Alligator mississippiensis: one gene and its partner. The main gene of each other region encodes a partner of the protein of the gene in region 2 in a complex. Links are inferred from orthologs where the notes say so. Each region holds a gene or a part of one and is shown on either strand. Other genes may lie near its edges.

The links. Proteins that work in one complex are often made in the same cells at the same time.
Region 1: the proteins of ROBO3 (region 2) and NELL1 are in contact, whole or in part, in a crystal structure (PDB 6POL), measured with the Homo sapiens proteins. The link is inferred for Alligator mississippiensis from reciprocal best matches to the Homo sapiens genes ROBO3 and NELL1. Residues at the interface, in NP_071765.2 of Homo sapiens: Ser553, Pro555, Val590, Glu592, Phe594, Pro596, Asn600, Thr601, Trp602, Thr604, Ile624, Leu626, Arg630, Gly633, Ala634, Trp635, Gly636, Leu637, Ser638, Glu639, Pro646, Val647, Arg648; in NP_006148.2 of Homo sapiens: Ala440, Lys441, Met442, His443, Tyr444, His446, Tyr458, Arg468, Val469, Asp470, Asp471, Phe472, Ser473, Asp478, Ile492, Cys493, Thr494, Asn495, Thr503, Cys504, Lys505, Pro506.

Annotation. Positions count from the first base shown.
Region 1 is NC_081825.1:212,993,085-213,000,684, forward strand, and holds the start of NELL1 (protein kinase C-binding protein NELL1), read right to left. Parts: upstream 3,006-7,600; 5' UTR 2,882-3,005; coding exon 2,830-2,881; intron 1-2,829. UniProt on the Homo sapiens protein: Plays a role in the control of cell growth and differentiation. Promotes osteoblast cell differentiation and terminal mineralization.
Region 2 is NC_081839.1:20,587,219-20,594,293, reverse strand, and holds the start of ROBO3 (roundabout homolog 3), read left to right. Parts: upstream 1-3,848; 5' UTR 3,849-3,920; coding exon 3,921-4,068; intron 4,069-7,075. UniProt on the Homo sapiens protein: Receptor involved in axon guidance during development. Acts as a multifunctional regulator of pathfinding that simultaneously mediates NELL2 repulsion, inhibits SLIT repulsion, and facilitates Netrin-1/NTN1 attraction.

The DNA.
Region 1 (7,600 bases), on a different chromosome or scaffold from region 2:
TCTTGAGATTGCATGCAGACACTCAAAATCCTGGTCATTTAATAATTAATACATGACAAATCAGTAGTTTCTGTTTTATAACCAGGTTTCTTTTCCCTCTGTGGTCTCTAGGCTCAGAGATCTTAACTAGGAGAGTTATGTAAAGAGAACTATGGGCACATCAACGGTATTTGCATCCAATATGGTATGCTCTGTCTCTTAGTAACAGAACAAAAAGCTAGAAATTCCTTAAACATTATTGTTTTCAAGTTGTGCAAATTATGGATCTTGTGACGGGCTGACTGTCTTCAACCCCTGTACAAGTCAACAGGCCAAATCTTTAACTCAGTTTCTTACTCAGGAAAAACTCCAGTTGCTTCAGAAGTTTGCCTGAGCAAAGGTAGAAAAATTCAGGAGTCTGGGGATTTGGCCCTATGAGACTTGAAGGCACTGTAGTACATGAGAGGCTTAAGCCATATAATTAAGAATGATGTCAACAGGAAATCCCTCAAAGAAATGAATGCAGCCTCACAGCCCTTGCAGCTTGCATTGTCTGCCTGCACCTTTCTCAAGGATACCCGAGTCCTAGTGATCAAAGAAAATTCTCTATAGTTTAATTATGCTTTCAGTGCACCTGCTTATATTATGTGATAATGTCTATGCATGGATAGACATCCATGTGATGATGTGTAGAGAGATGATGTGTAGATACATACAGTTGCACTAGAGAAGGAACTTTAAGTTAAAATGTACTTAGCACAATCCAGTCATTGTCTAGCACATATTTTCCATTTGAACAGCAGCATGAAGTAAACTCTAAAACATATATTCCATTTTTGACCATTAACAGCACTGATGCCTATCATTACACAAAAATAACTTTCCAAGGAGCTCTACCATTCCAAATAATTTAGTCTCAAATTAGTCTTAGCAACCATTTTGAGTGTCAATATGCAATATCAATGTTACAGTGGCTAAGAGAACAAGAGAAATTTTCTCCCTAGGCATCTTTACTGTCACACTCTACAAGTTCAAGTGACATTCGCTGATGGGGCAATACTCCAATACTTTATTATGTTAACTGCCATCTTAAACTTTGATTTCTAGGGAAAATATAAATTTGTGCCTATAGTAATTTTACCAGGTTATTTTCCTGAAAACATCATTTGCACATCATCCTGAAAATGTCCCCCTCACGTAGTCTAAATCCAAGCTTATTAAGAGTAGTACACTACATGAGAGTAAAGAGAACAAAGAATCCACAAGAAAAAAATGTGTTTCTGCTATATTATTTCTATTAACTCTTTGCATCAGGGATTTGTAGTCTGTATCTTGCCTGTTACAAGTATTCCCCAGGTCTTTAAACCTTCCTAAATGCCCAGGGAGGCTACATTTCAGTTCTCAATAAAGCATGCACTTTAATAAAAATGGCCCCCATTGCAGCCAATATAGCAATACTTGTGGATGAAAGATATCGAGATATCAGCTTATGCGTGTGATCTGCATATGCATGCCTTCAAGATGATAATGAGACTCTCTCTTACAGATAAAGCCCCTCCTAGAAAGCGTTTGCACTAAATAGCCAGAATTAAAAATGTGCCAGTCTTCTAATCGGCCCAAAAGGAAGACTGATCAGCAACCTCAGATTTACAAAGGGAAGCTTTCTGATCAGGCTACGGTATCAGGCGTATGGCAATGGACCGTGTTTAATGCCAGCATCCTAAAGGACCACGTTTAATACCAACATCCTAAAGGACGCTCCCAACATTATTAAATGGGAAGCTTCGTGGCAAAACTCTGCCTTGCCCTGTGATCCCAGAGCACTCTGGAAAGCAGAAAAATCCAAAGGGACCTGCTCTTTCTTTCCTTCTCAGGCTAATGCCCACTTCCCTGCAGCTTTCACCTGTTCTCACTCCAAATCCTCTCCTTTCATGAACAAACAGCAGGGAGTGAGAGAGGCAGCCTGGGCTTCCTGAAACTTTTCATTACTGAATCTCGCCTCACACATGCCCCTCCTGAGAGACCGCTTCTTAAGCACCGCAAAAATGAACAGAGAGCAAGAGGGCTCACCCGGAGGAGCTGGGCAAAATGAGAAAGGTCCCCAAAGAGGAGCCTGCCAAGACAAAACTCAGTGGGGAGGATTCCTCCCTAGACCCCCCACCCTCCAACCCAGCAGGACAAGCTGCAGCTCCGCTGGGCAGAGGTGACTCCGCCAGCTGGGCATGCTGAAGCCACCCGCCTGCCCCAGCAGTCCCTGTCCCTGCTGTGTGCCCAGTCGCCTGCCTGGCAAGTGGGGAAGGAGGGCTCTGCTTGGGCAGGGGAGGCGTGCCCCACGCCTGCGGACCCCCAGAGCCAAGCCTGCTCTCCTGCTGGCCCTGGCACCTGTGCTGTATGGCAAGGGGGGAGAAAAATGCCCCCTCCAGCAGGTGCCTGCCCTGTTGAGCCAGGAAGGGAGGTGGGGGATGAGACCTTTATGGGAGTGAAAGGTGGGGGGATCCGGAGGGGAAGCAGGGGGAGGAGAGTCTGAGACCCCGAGGAGAGGCAGGCAGAGGTGGGGGTCTGAGACTCTGCTGGGAAAGCAGGGGGGCGGCCCGAGACCCCGAGGGGATCCGAGACCCTGCTGGGAGGAAAGGAGAGGCAGGAAGAGGTCTGAGGCTCCCAAGGGGAGGGGGTCCGAGACCCCGAGGGGAAGCGGGGGAGGAGCGGGTCCGAGCCCCCTTGCTTCCGCTCTCCCGCCCGCAGGACGGGCAGGGAGCCTCCTGGGCAGCGGCTGCCCAGAGCCAGCAGCAGCGGCTCGGTTTCCCCGGCGCAGCAAAGTTTCCCCGGCGCTTGCCCGGCCCCGGGTCCTACCTGCCCCGGCCACAGCCAGCACGCCCGCTGCCAGCACCACGAGGCGCTCCATCTGCGCGGGCCCCGCGCGCGGCTCGGCAGCTGCCGGGCTCGAACTCGCGGCGCTCCGCCAGGCTGGGCAGAGACGGCGGCGGCGGCTCCACCCGCGGCCAGTCCTGCTCCCCAGGAAGAGTCCATGTGCCTCGCTCGGGGATGCTCGCCCAACCCGGGCCCCCCCCCCCGCTCCCCCTGACGCGTCAGCCCCGGGCCCACGCCCCTGCTCCCCCCCCCCGCGGCCGCGCTCGTTGGGCTGCGCCGAGTGCCGGCTTCAGGCGGCCCTGCCCCCCGCTCCGCTGCCAGTGGATCAGCCCCCCCCAACCAAGCACCTGCACCGAAGCAGAGGGACTGGAGGGCGCTTTGACCATGCCCCTCCCGCCAGGGGGCCGCAGCCTGGACCCCAGGGCTGGGGGAATCGCCTCACCCCTTTGCTAGAGGGAGCAGAGGCTGGGGCAGGGCAGCCTCCCTGGGAATGCCCCTGCCCTCCACTAGGCTGGGTTCCTAGGGGGGTGGCATTGCACCTTGCCCAGCTGACTGAGTGCCGCTTCAGTGGGTTCAGGCTGCACCTGTTACCCACTGAGACCTCAGGACACGGCCGATCCTGCTCCCAGTGTGGCTAGGGGTTTGGCCTCCTCCTCCTCCTCCTCCCAGCCTGTGGAAGGGACTGATAGATTTGCTTCCAGCTCAAGATTAATGGGAAAGAGTGCCCTTTCTCCTTCTGCTGAGCAGGCCTGTGAGGGGGAGGCACAGCTAGCAGGGGGGTGCGTCAGCATGGCTTCCATCTGCTAACCTCTTGTGCTCCTGCTTTTTACTTACCCAGCTTTTTTTATTTTTTGTTAAACACCCACCCCGACTCGGAGCGCTGCACAAGGGCTAAGAGGAACACGCCACTCACAAAATTACAAGCCACCCCCGACAAAATGGCAATCGCCCACCCTTCAGCTGGCCCAGCTCGTGAAGCCAGTTTGAGAAGCCTGCTCTGTCTTTGCTGCGGTTGCTTTTCTTTTTTATTTTCTCTTATTCTTGTCAGTTAAGCATTATCTGGATATCAACATGAGGACCTGCCCTGAATTACGGAGCGGTGAGATTCCTACACTACTCTTGTATTGTGCCCCTCATTCCAAGCGTTTGTCCTCTGTTTACGGGTCAGCAGGTTGTGGGCCTGCAGCCACCCCATTCTGTACAGAACTTAATAGTTGTTTAACAAGGGTCATTTTAGGAAACCCTTCCTCACTGGTGATGTGAGTCTACTTCTGTTTTTGTGAAGAATGATCTTTACTTACCATTCTCTCTATACATGCTTTACGTCAGAAATGTTTGGGAAACTTGGAAAACAGTCCTTGCAATAAATTAGCTGATCTGACATTTGTTAATGGTACAGCAATGGAAAAACAGGGGGGGGATAAAAGAGTCAAAAGACTCCTCTGCCGGCTCTCTATATTCCCATGGTCAAATCACTTGGCTGCTGGTTCTCATGTTTTCAATCCAAACAGTTGGGATGATTCTTTAAAGCTTTGGAAAGTCTGCAGTGAAAAGCACCACCCAGAACAATTACAAAAACAAACCTCTGTTGTCTCTCTAAACCCCATCCAGCATGTCAAAAAATACATTATACCACATAAAATAATGTCACCTACTGCTTCTCACTAATAAAATATGGCTTTAAATTTAGTCCAGAAAACTTGGAACCCAGATCTCGCTCCTGTTTAAATCAGTAGAAATGGGGTCAGACACTGAGAAACAAAATGATTTCTATTTTGGGGGAAAATAAAACTATACTAATTCTCTTTCCACCTCCCGTGAGAGATTTGTCTAGCTTTACAGAACTTCAAGTTGAATCACCATTTCATTGTAAAGCCAGAGGATTTTTTTTCTCCCTAGTGGCCTGATACTGGGCAATGTCATTTCAGATGGATATTTGGTACTCACGTGCCACGTAAGAAAAAGCTCTGTTTGTTCAGGCTTAAACATATAATAAAATTGTTCAACGTTACAACACCGAGGATATATATGAGTACTTTAAGGGTCATTTATATTCATGTACTCTTATTTTGGCAAACAATAAAAGCCTACAAGGGTTGCTTAGTTATTTAGTAAATTATATCAAGTGCAGAACACAGGTGTTCCTGGCTGGAGGCAGTGGATATGCTTAGTGGAATCTATGAGGTCAATGTCCCCAAAATTCTCTGTCATTAATCACCAATGTACTCTGATGATTTTTAGCCATTTCCATTTTTAAAGTCTTAAATATATTTCTTTTTTTTTCCTTAGAGTTTTATTTTGCAAGTGCCATTCTTATCCCAATGGAATGAATAGAGTTAATTGTAGAGCAACACCTTCTGTGGTATTCTGACAACATGGACTAATAGGAATGGGTCTCTTAGATGAAAGGGCAATGCTGTGCTCTGAAGCATGCCTCTGTGTTATGCCATTCACATTTGCTCAGCCACAGAATGACCTGGTGCACTTCCACACAAAGTTGCACTGGGTTTAACTAAAGATGCAGACTTGAGTAGCTTTTGAAAAGCTGGAAATGTTTCACAAAGGTATCTTTTCATATGTGGGATAAAGATACAGCCCCTGTGGCACTCCCAGGCTGGAATGATTAAAAATTGCTGCAGCTGCATGCAGCCACAGCTCTCCAGACATGGGGTGCTACAGGGGACTGTAGAGACCTTCAGTTTGGCTCTCCACACCCCACTCCTACCTGAAATCTTCTAGTCTAAGTCTCTTCTGCCTTATGAGAGGTAGAGGTGATTGGGGCTAGAGAGCCCAGCACCAGCAGGGGGGTCTGAGTACCAAACTGGCAAGGACCAGCAAGTTGGACCCCACAGCTGCACAGTCTGTTAAGTCAGACTGTCCACCCTCCCCTCCCAATGAAGGAGCAGGGGAAAAGCAGAGCACTGTGAGATTCTGAAGGACCAAGAGGTTCCCTGTCCCCATACTCATGTAATAAGAAAGGAAACGCTGCAAAATAGCACCTCATTTGAAGCGGTAATATTTTGGAGCACTTCAGCTGCTTTTGGAACATTGCAAAAGCAAGTACTCTTGTACAGGTAGCTCTTTAAAGTGTTTCAAAGACATTTTAATTGTTTCTTCATGCTGCACCATGAAGGTTTTCTTTTAAACTGATTAAATTAAACCAGTGCAAACCCAGAGTGGTCCCACATAAATCAACTAAGCTTCGCTTATCCTGAGTTATCAAAAATTGATTCCTTGTCAGCTTAAGCTAAATTAAAAATAACCAAAGATTAAAAAAAATACATAAGATAATGAATACAGAAGTTTGTACTGACTTAGGCAAATCAATTTAAAAGCATGCCTTTACCTAAATCCTGTGCAACTTTGGGGGGTAGACCAGCTTGAAACAATTCTGGGGCCATGTGGCTATTTAGAGTAGAAACCTCAAAGGAAAACATAGACGCTGCAGGATGTAATGGAGGTATTTCAGTAAGTAACATTCTAACCAGAGTCAATCCTATAGATAAGGGTACTACCAATATAGTCATACATGATAAAAGCCCTTTGCTGGTAACTCACAGAGGCAGCACATTGCAGGGAGAAAAGAAAAAAGATTTCTGTATTTTTTGCTAGGAACCAAATAGAAGAAGTGAATAGAGGGTTAGAGAAACTGGCACCTCCTAAGGCCATTCTCACACTTCCTCTAATATTATATGACTGGTAACAAATGCTTCCCCTGTATTAGTACAGAACTTAGTCCCAACATGATTATGGCAGAAATGCATGTTGCCAGAGGGTGTAAGGTTCAGATGACTTAAAACTGAAGTCCCGAACATTTGTAGCAATTAGAAGTTTGACAGCACTTTTGTAAGAGTAGCGCGTTAATAATTCCAGCCAGCTTAGCTGGATTTCAGCTCTCATAATATTTTACTTTGCAAAAATTCCTCCTGAAGTTCTAGTTGAAGCTGTGTATTTCTTCACTTCCTGACCTGAATAATTGTGATGTTGCTGACCATGTGTTGTTAAATTGCTAATCCTTTCTGCCACAGAGTTTGTGGCATTTGAAAGGCTGATAAAACATTTCCTTTATACTCCTTAATACTTCAGGGAGGTGTATGAAACAATTTGTGTTCCCTGGATGGCAGGTGATTAAATGTCCAAAGCACTATTGTTAGTGTCATGAGAAAAAATTCACATCTCAATTTTTACCTAAACTACTTGCATGCAGCATTTAGAATTGAATACATGAGCTCCAGTATGAAAACAGAGGGTGTCTACCACTTGATAGCATGCAAAGTTTTTTAGTTGCAGTAGTACCCTTTGTAGTCATGCCACAGTCTGGAAAGTTTAGGTCACGATCATATGAGCAGATGTGACTTTGCATCCAGTAGAGGGCAGCAGTGTACAAAATACTTATCCATAGTAGCAGGAGAAGTATTGATGCAGGGGCCGGCAAAATGTGACCTGCAGGCCAGATGCGGCCCACTAGACCATTCCATCTGGCCCATGGGGCCCCTAAAAAATTTAGAAAATTAATATTTATCTGCCCCTAGCTGCCTGTCATGCAGCCCTTGATGGCTTGCAAAACTCAGTAAGCGGCCCTCTGCCCGAAATAATTGCACATCCCTGTATTGATGAATGAATAAAGTAGTGGGTGTAAACCTACAGCCTGAATGTTAAAATGGTGGGGCATTAGTCTCACAGGTTAAGACCCGTTATTGAGTTTTACATAATAGACCATAGGGGATGTGAAAGAACTGTAATGATTAGGGTA
Region 2 (7,075 bases):
CCTGCCTTAACTCCATCTTAATCGGGTTTTTTTTCTGGGAACACATGTACCATTGGAAATTCCAGTACTGAGAAATCATTAAGATTCAAACTGAGTAATGAAGCTGTTAGGATGCAGAGTCACTTTAAACATCTGGGAAAAGCATAAAGAGATTTATTACTAACCTGATTACTACACATTAAATACAAACATGCCAGTGATTTACAAAGAATACATAGTAGGTTCAAGTTTTAACAGTATTTTTTGGTCTGGAATGCATTTTAATGGGAATCTGTGTTGAATTAGAAATGGTCACATGTGGGCAGGTGAAGATTGCTTTCCAATCTCATTTTTTCCTAATCATAATGCTTGATATGCAACTTAAGGGGTCACTCCTAATGATCCCCATTCTTTTGTCTCCCAGTAGTACAATGCTAATAGCCTTAGCTTCAAAGGTTGTCTTGAAGTGTCCAATTCTCCATCTTGCCTCCCACAAGCATTCCAAAATCATGTGTCAAGACCCCCACAATCATAAAACTGGCTTAAAAATCATGAGGTGTTTTTTTTTAAGAAGAAAGCAAATAATTTGGTGCTCTTTTTATTTGCCTCTTGCATTTGAGCCTCTGAGGATCACATTTTACAGGTTTCTTCTGGCAATCAGGAGAGCTATAATTTTACTATTTCTTTTAAATGAGAGAGGCGCTTCCATCATACTCTTCTGACTCAGGAGACTTTAAGGAAAACACCAGATCTTGTGAGGACAAGCAAGACTACACTCTGCCTGGAAGACACAGCTAGTGCATATTAATCTGCATCCTCTTTTTAAGCTTGAAGCTTCATAACACGGCAAAGGGATGGCATTTGCCTGGTTGGGACTATTATTAATATGCTGTGAAGGGAAAGGAGGGTTTGTTTTATGTTACTCCTGAAGGAGAAGAAATTACTCTAGTGTGCAGGAAAATATTACCTTGTTTAGCAGGTGGAACACCTTGATGATGGACATAGACCAGGTTCTATCAACTTGTTTAGTTTGCCGGTATTCAACATCTCCTTCATTACTATGGAAGGGAAGGAGAGGCTCTCCTGTGGCAGCGAGAAACAGCAATAGCCTTCTTAGCAGTGGGTTAACATTCTCATAGTACTGCAGAATAGCAGCGTGTCTTTACAAAACAGGATTAAACCAAGGGTCTGGAATGGCCCCTCACTGACACCAGTGTAACTCATTCATAGTGTGCAAAGTGGAGGTGAAAGGAGAATCTGATGCACTTAGAGCTGAACTCCAAAATGATACAAGACAAGACAGGAGGACACTGCCCCCTGGCAGCAGAAATGCTCCGCAAAAACGGACTTAGAGCAGGAGTGGGCAAAATACAGCCCACAGGCTGGTTCTGGCCTGCTAATAGATTGGATCTGGCCTGTGGCTACCCATGCAGCACTCTGCATGGGGCTGAGCCCTGCCTGGGGCAGCCCGTGCCACACTCCCACCACACCTGCCTGCCCCAGACCTGGCCAGGCCAGTGTGCACAGCTTCCCCATGGGGTCGCTCCCAGTGCATCTGCCTGGATGCTGTGCAGCTCTCCCCACCTCCAGTGGCTCCTCTTCCTGCTGTGCAGCTCTGGGCATGGGGGAGGCTCCTGGCAGCTCCTGTCCCAGCGTGTGGAGCTCCAGCTCTGTTCACCTGGTACAATGAGCAGTCACCTACAGGCACCTGAGAGCAGCCACTTAACTCATTAAGTGGCCCTCCAGCCAAAAATAACTGCCTACCCCTGACTTAGAAGAATGTGGGTGGGTGCAAGCATATGGGGGGTAGCTGACTGTTCCCAGCATGAGGCATTGCAAAACAGCCAGAAGTGGGAATGAAGCAAGATAGGGTGGAGGAGCAAGCTCAACATGGAGGACATGCTGCTTGAACCTGCTATGGCTGGACAGTGACAGCCAGTGATGAGGCTCAAGGGGAGGATGGGGAAAAGGAATGGTTTGTTTTGGTGACAGTCTTTTGAATGGACCACAGAGGAAGGAGCCAGTGTCTGCTGTACTACTACTTCTCCTGTCTCTACACCACATTTGACCATTTACGCGTGCTTGTGCTCATTTACTGTACTTTGCAAGATCTGTCATTGTACATGTGCATTTGAGCAGTAGGCATTGCAGCAGATGTTGCGTAGTCTGAGGCTCTGTGCTGCAGTCACAGGTGGTTGAACCAGTGGCATAGCCCTGCTTTTCATTAGTTCCTTGGAACATCTGATAGGTGGTTGAGACATTGTTACCTTTGCCATGGTTTGTTAGGTGGTAAGGATTCAGCCACTGGAACATCCATTTTTTTGCTGTCAGGTATTTTCTTCCTCCTCTTTTTCCACATCCATAGTTGTGTCTCCTTGGGTGTGGCATCAAGAGGTTGAGTGCTGGTGAGGAAGCTCCTGCATGACTTCAGATGTTTGTGTGCTGTGGGACACTCATACAGCAGGTGTCTCACATCTTCAGTTTGCCTCAGTTGTTCTGTCCTACCAGCCACTGCTCTTCCGGACTTCAGTCTGTTCCCTGGTAGGCTGGTAGGCTTCAGACATCCGGTGATGTGCTGGCAGCTATCATTCAGAATGGGGTCAAGGCATTCTGATCAAGGTGCATGTATGAATCTCTCCCATACAGGGCATGTATCCTCGGCAGAGGAGAAACTCAGAGCTAGAACAGTGGTTTGGATGGTTGAGGCACTAGCTCCCCGTTTTGAGTTGGTGAGCTTATATAATGTTGTTATGAGTGCTCACCTTTGCTTTTGGGCTGCTGTACTGATCCACCCTGAGATACTGCAAGAGCTTGGATGTACCAGGAGACTTTTTTCCATCAAGGCTGGTGATGAGGCATTCTCACAGTCACTGCCGATGAGGCTGTGAGAAACCCCACTGCCGTTGAGGCAATCAGGCATTTGACAGTGACTAGGATCCAGTGGAATCACTCGCACTAGCACATTTTCCTACTGCCTTTCTTTCCTTCCTTCCTTCTGCAGCATTATTGAATTCTCAGAACTCAGGGGCCTACGTGGCACACACGCCTCACGACGGTCACAATACAAATGGCCTGATTGTTGCCTGGTTCTGATTTTAGCCTGCAAAAGGACTGTTCTCTTGCTGGTCCTTGTCATGAGCAGGTGTTTAAGTTCCAGCACACAGGTATTGGTGATCAGCTGAAGTGCTCTATTAATGGCTGCTGCGACTGTATCCGCAGGTAGCTGTCTGGCTCCAGCCGTGTCTATGCATGGCTTTATGGCTGTGACCATGCCCACGGTGGGTGTAGGTGTCAGAGGGCAATGCAATGCTGTGTGTTATTTTCTCGATGCCAATGTGGGAGTGCAAAGCAGCAGGTGCCGAAGAAGATAAGTTTAGGGTGTTTCAGAGCTGTCACTGAATTGGGGGAGGGCAGCGGCCAGTGGCAGAGGTGACTGCAATGTGCCCTGGTGCCACAACTCACACCTTGCCTGGCCTCCCCGCTGCGCAGACGAAGGTCCTGGGGCTCAGGCACATGAAGCAGGGCAGTGTCCTCATGCGGGGACGCCGGGACCACGTTGCTGTGGCTGGACCCGGGCTGGGGACGCCCGTGGCGGCGCCCGCAGGAGGAGCTCGGGGGCACCGCGGCCATCCCGGCACTGCGGGGCTCGAGACCCCTCCGGGGCGGGCGAGCGCGCGGTGCGCAGGCAGCGCTGCGGGGCTCCCCCCTCCCGGCCGGGCCGGGTTATTCATCGGATAATTAAACATTTATTGGAGCTGGCACCTGCCTTCCTGCCCGCCTCCCGCGGGAGCGCCGCGCTGCGCCGCGCCGGGCCGGGCCGGGAGGAGGGACGGGGCGGCGCCGCCGGCAGACGCGCTGGAGCAGGCAGAGCGCGGGCGGCGCGGCGCGGAGCGGAGCGGACTGCGGCCGCCCTCCCTCCCCGTGCCGCCGCCGCCATCGCCATGCTGCGCTACCTGCTCAAGACCCTGCTGCAGATGAACCTGTTCGCCGACTCCATCGCGGCCGAGGGCTCCAACTCCTCCGACCTGCTGCTCGGCCTCAACTCCACGCTGGCAGCGCTCGACCTGGGCTCGCTGCCCGGCTTCAACGGTAGGCGGGCCGCCCGCGCTGCCCCGGGTCGCTGGCGCCGGGGCGGGGCGGTGCGGGGCGGCCGAGCCCCCCGCCTCGGGCAGTGCCCGCGGGTCCCGACGGCGGAGTCCGGCCGGCCCAGGCTTGCAGCCCCGGGTAGTTTCGCAGCCTCGGGGCCACTTGCGGCGCGACTTGGTGCCCGCTACCTGCCCCGGGAAGCGCGGGCTCCGCTCCGGCGTGCCCGGCCATGGCAGGACTGCTCCCCGCGGCCGCGGACGGGGCTCCTCTCCCAGGCGGGGCAGGGACGGGCCGGGGGCGGGAAGAGCCGGCCGGGCCAGGACCCGCGGCTGCGGTGACCAGGGCTACGTCTGCGAGCGCGGCCCCTGAGCCCTCAGACCCACAGCAAGTGCCACCCCTGGCACCTGTGCTCTCCTCTCCCGCGAGTTGTCTCACCCCATTGTTTTAAAGACAAAGTGGAAGTCGTGCGGTGCCAGGCCTGCTCCGGAGCCCGCCCCGCATCCCTCCGCATAGTGGCAGGCTTTGGACCATCCCAGTAGGGCTCCAAGGAGCAGCTAAGGTCTTCTGGGTCACCCGTGTTTCTACCCCTCCTCTCCTGCCATGGTCAGTGTCTTGCTCTGCTGCCTTCTAGACCTGAGCCAGGCTGGATTCTGCAAGTCTTGTTCACAACGAGCCCCCAGGAGTTTGGTGCCAAGCCCCCCTCCCTCTTCCTCTTCCCCCTTGGTGCATCCTCTGTAGACCCCGTGCTCCCCGTGACCCCGAAGGTTGGAGGGAGCCTGGGAAATGCTTTGAGCTTCCTAGAAGCTCTTTCAGGTCACCAGGTCCTGGCTGTGAACTCCAAAGGGTCCGTGCCCAGCCCTGTGGTGACACCATGGGGCACTCTCACTTTGAAAGTGACACCTAGTGCTGAAATGCTGCACTCACAACTGCAGATTCCACCTCTGCCAGGGTTTTATTCATTGACTGGAATGAATTAAGCTTGGGAGGGGTTGAGGGATGTATCACTCCCTTATCACAAGCTGACAGTTTGCATTGGTGCTTCTCACAAGGGAAGGCAGAAGGGCCCAGCTTGTGAATCATGAAAGTACCAAGGAGGAAATACCACCTGAGTGTTATTAACAGTTATGTCAGTTGTGTCACACTAGGTTAAGACAGGGCCGGACACGTAGATCTGACAGACCAGCAAGAATTTCCATGTATGTTGGTCTGTGTCATTTTAAACATGACTTCTGAGCTACAGCAGGGGAGAGATCCACAGAAGAGGAGATAGCCCCAACGCCCACAAATCCTTAGGAGGAAAAAGGTACTGAGGAGCCTTGTGTAAGTGCAGCAAAAAGAGCAGCTGAATGTCCAGGAGCAGTTCCTCTCTGTTACACATAGCCTCCTTCACTGCGCAGGCTGCTCCGTGAAAGTGCTTAGTACGTAGGGAGTGGCCACACGTCGTCTGCCCGTCCCCAGTTCCTGCTGTGTGTACTGCTGGTCCGGTCCCAGTGTTGGCTCTCAGTATTGTAGTCCAGGCAGCACATTCTGCACACATTGGTGTTATGCTCAATTCCACATCTTGCCACAAAACTGGTGTTCGGATCCTGAGTATTTAATTTCTCTCTAAAAAAAAGGGCAGTTAAGATCAAATCAGCAAACATTGCCTATTATGACATACCCTGATTTATGCCATCTTGGGGTTGGGATGTGGGACCTGATAATGAAGAAAACCTTACATAATGGGAACCAGGTTAAAGTAATGCAGTGTTTTCCCCCTGGATCTGCATGCAGCCTGATTGTAGATCTAAGACGTGAGAGCAGCCACGTTCATTTCTATGCAGTGTAAAGGCTGAAGCTGTGCGATAATGATGTTGACATTTATGTTGTCAAAAGTAGTAACACCCAACCACTGGACTAATCCCAGGATCCCAACCTGCCACCCAGACCTCTCCAGGGGCTTTCTTCCCAGCTGACAGCCCTGCAGCTTCTGCAGGACAGGTTTGTGTTAATACAAGTCCCTCATCTTCATTTCAAAGAAGTGGGTGTGTTAGCATGATGTGATTTAGCATAATGAGGCTTTGCTGGACATCTCTGTGAGATGATGCCTGAACCTCAGTGTAAACAGGCAGAGCTATGTTGGTAATTGATTTTTCTGTTCAGTGGGGAAATAATAACGTACAATGAAATATTTAATTCAATTTTAAAGCATTTTCCTTTTACTCTTTAATCTTCCTTTTACTCTTCAATCTTCTAAAATTCAAATTAGCTAAATTTTGTCTCAAATCTTCATTCCTACATGACCATACAAAACACATCTTTTCAACATATTTGAAACAAAATGTTTTGACTCTTCCAAAGAAAATCCCATTTTTTTGGCTGAAAAAATTGCCTAACTTGATGAGTTGTTTAATGTGTTCTCTAGCTGCATTTTCCAGCAAATAAATCTCTGTCTAAGCAAATCATCCACCTCTAACAACAGTAGAACTTGTAGTACAATCTTGCTTGGTTTGTTGCTCTAGTTGTACCATATTTAGAAAATCATATATGCTCAATATGATCAGTATAATTGCAGTTGTTTTGTCTGAGATTTGCGTCCCTGTGGGTGAATCTACATGTGAAATGAATGCAAAGCAATATACTCCGGCACAGTCCATGCCGGACTTTATTGCTCTCAGGTGCAGTATTTACATGTGTGCCTGGGACCACAGCACACTGAGCCAGGGCAGAGTAGGGGTGGGGCTTGGGGTGGGGATGGTGGAGTCAGAGGCCAGTCAGCTGGGTGACTTTGGTGTTATGGTTTATTGTGGTGGACTTTTAAAAACAGGTCTGATATTTGTGGCAAGGGAGGCCCCCGTGCCACAGACAGCCAGTGCGCAGGCTGCAGTAGGAGGCTCAGCCACATGGAATGGCTGGAGAGGTGGATTCTCACCCAGCACAGAGGCACCTTCCTCCCCACTTCTTCAGGTACTTTGCTCCAGATTGCTCATGGTGGGAGCAGTCACTGGCTTCCTGCAGTTGATCCAACTCA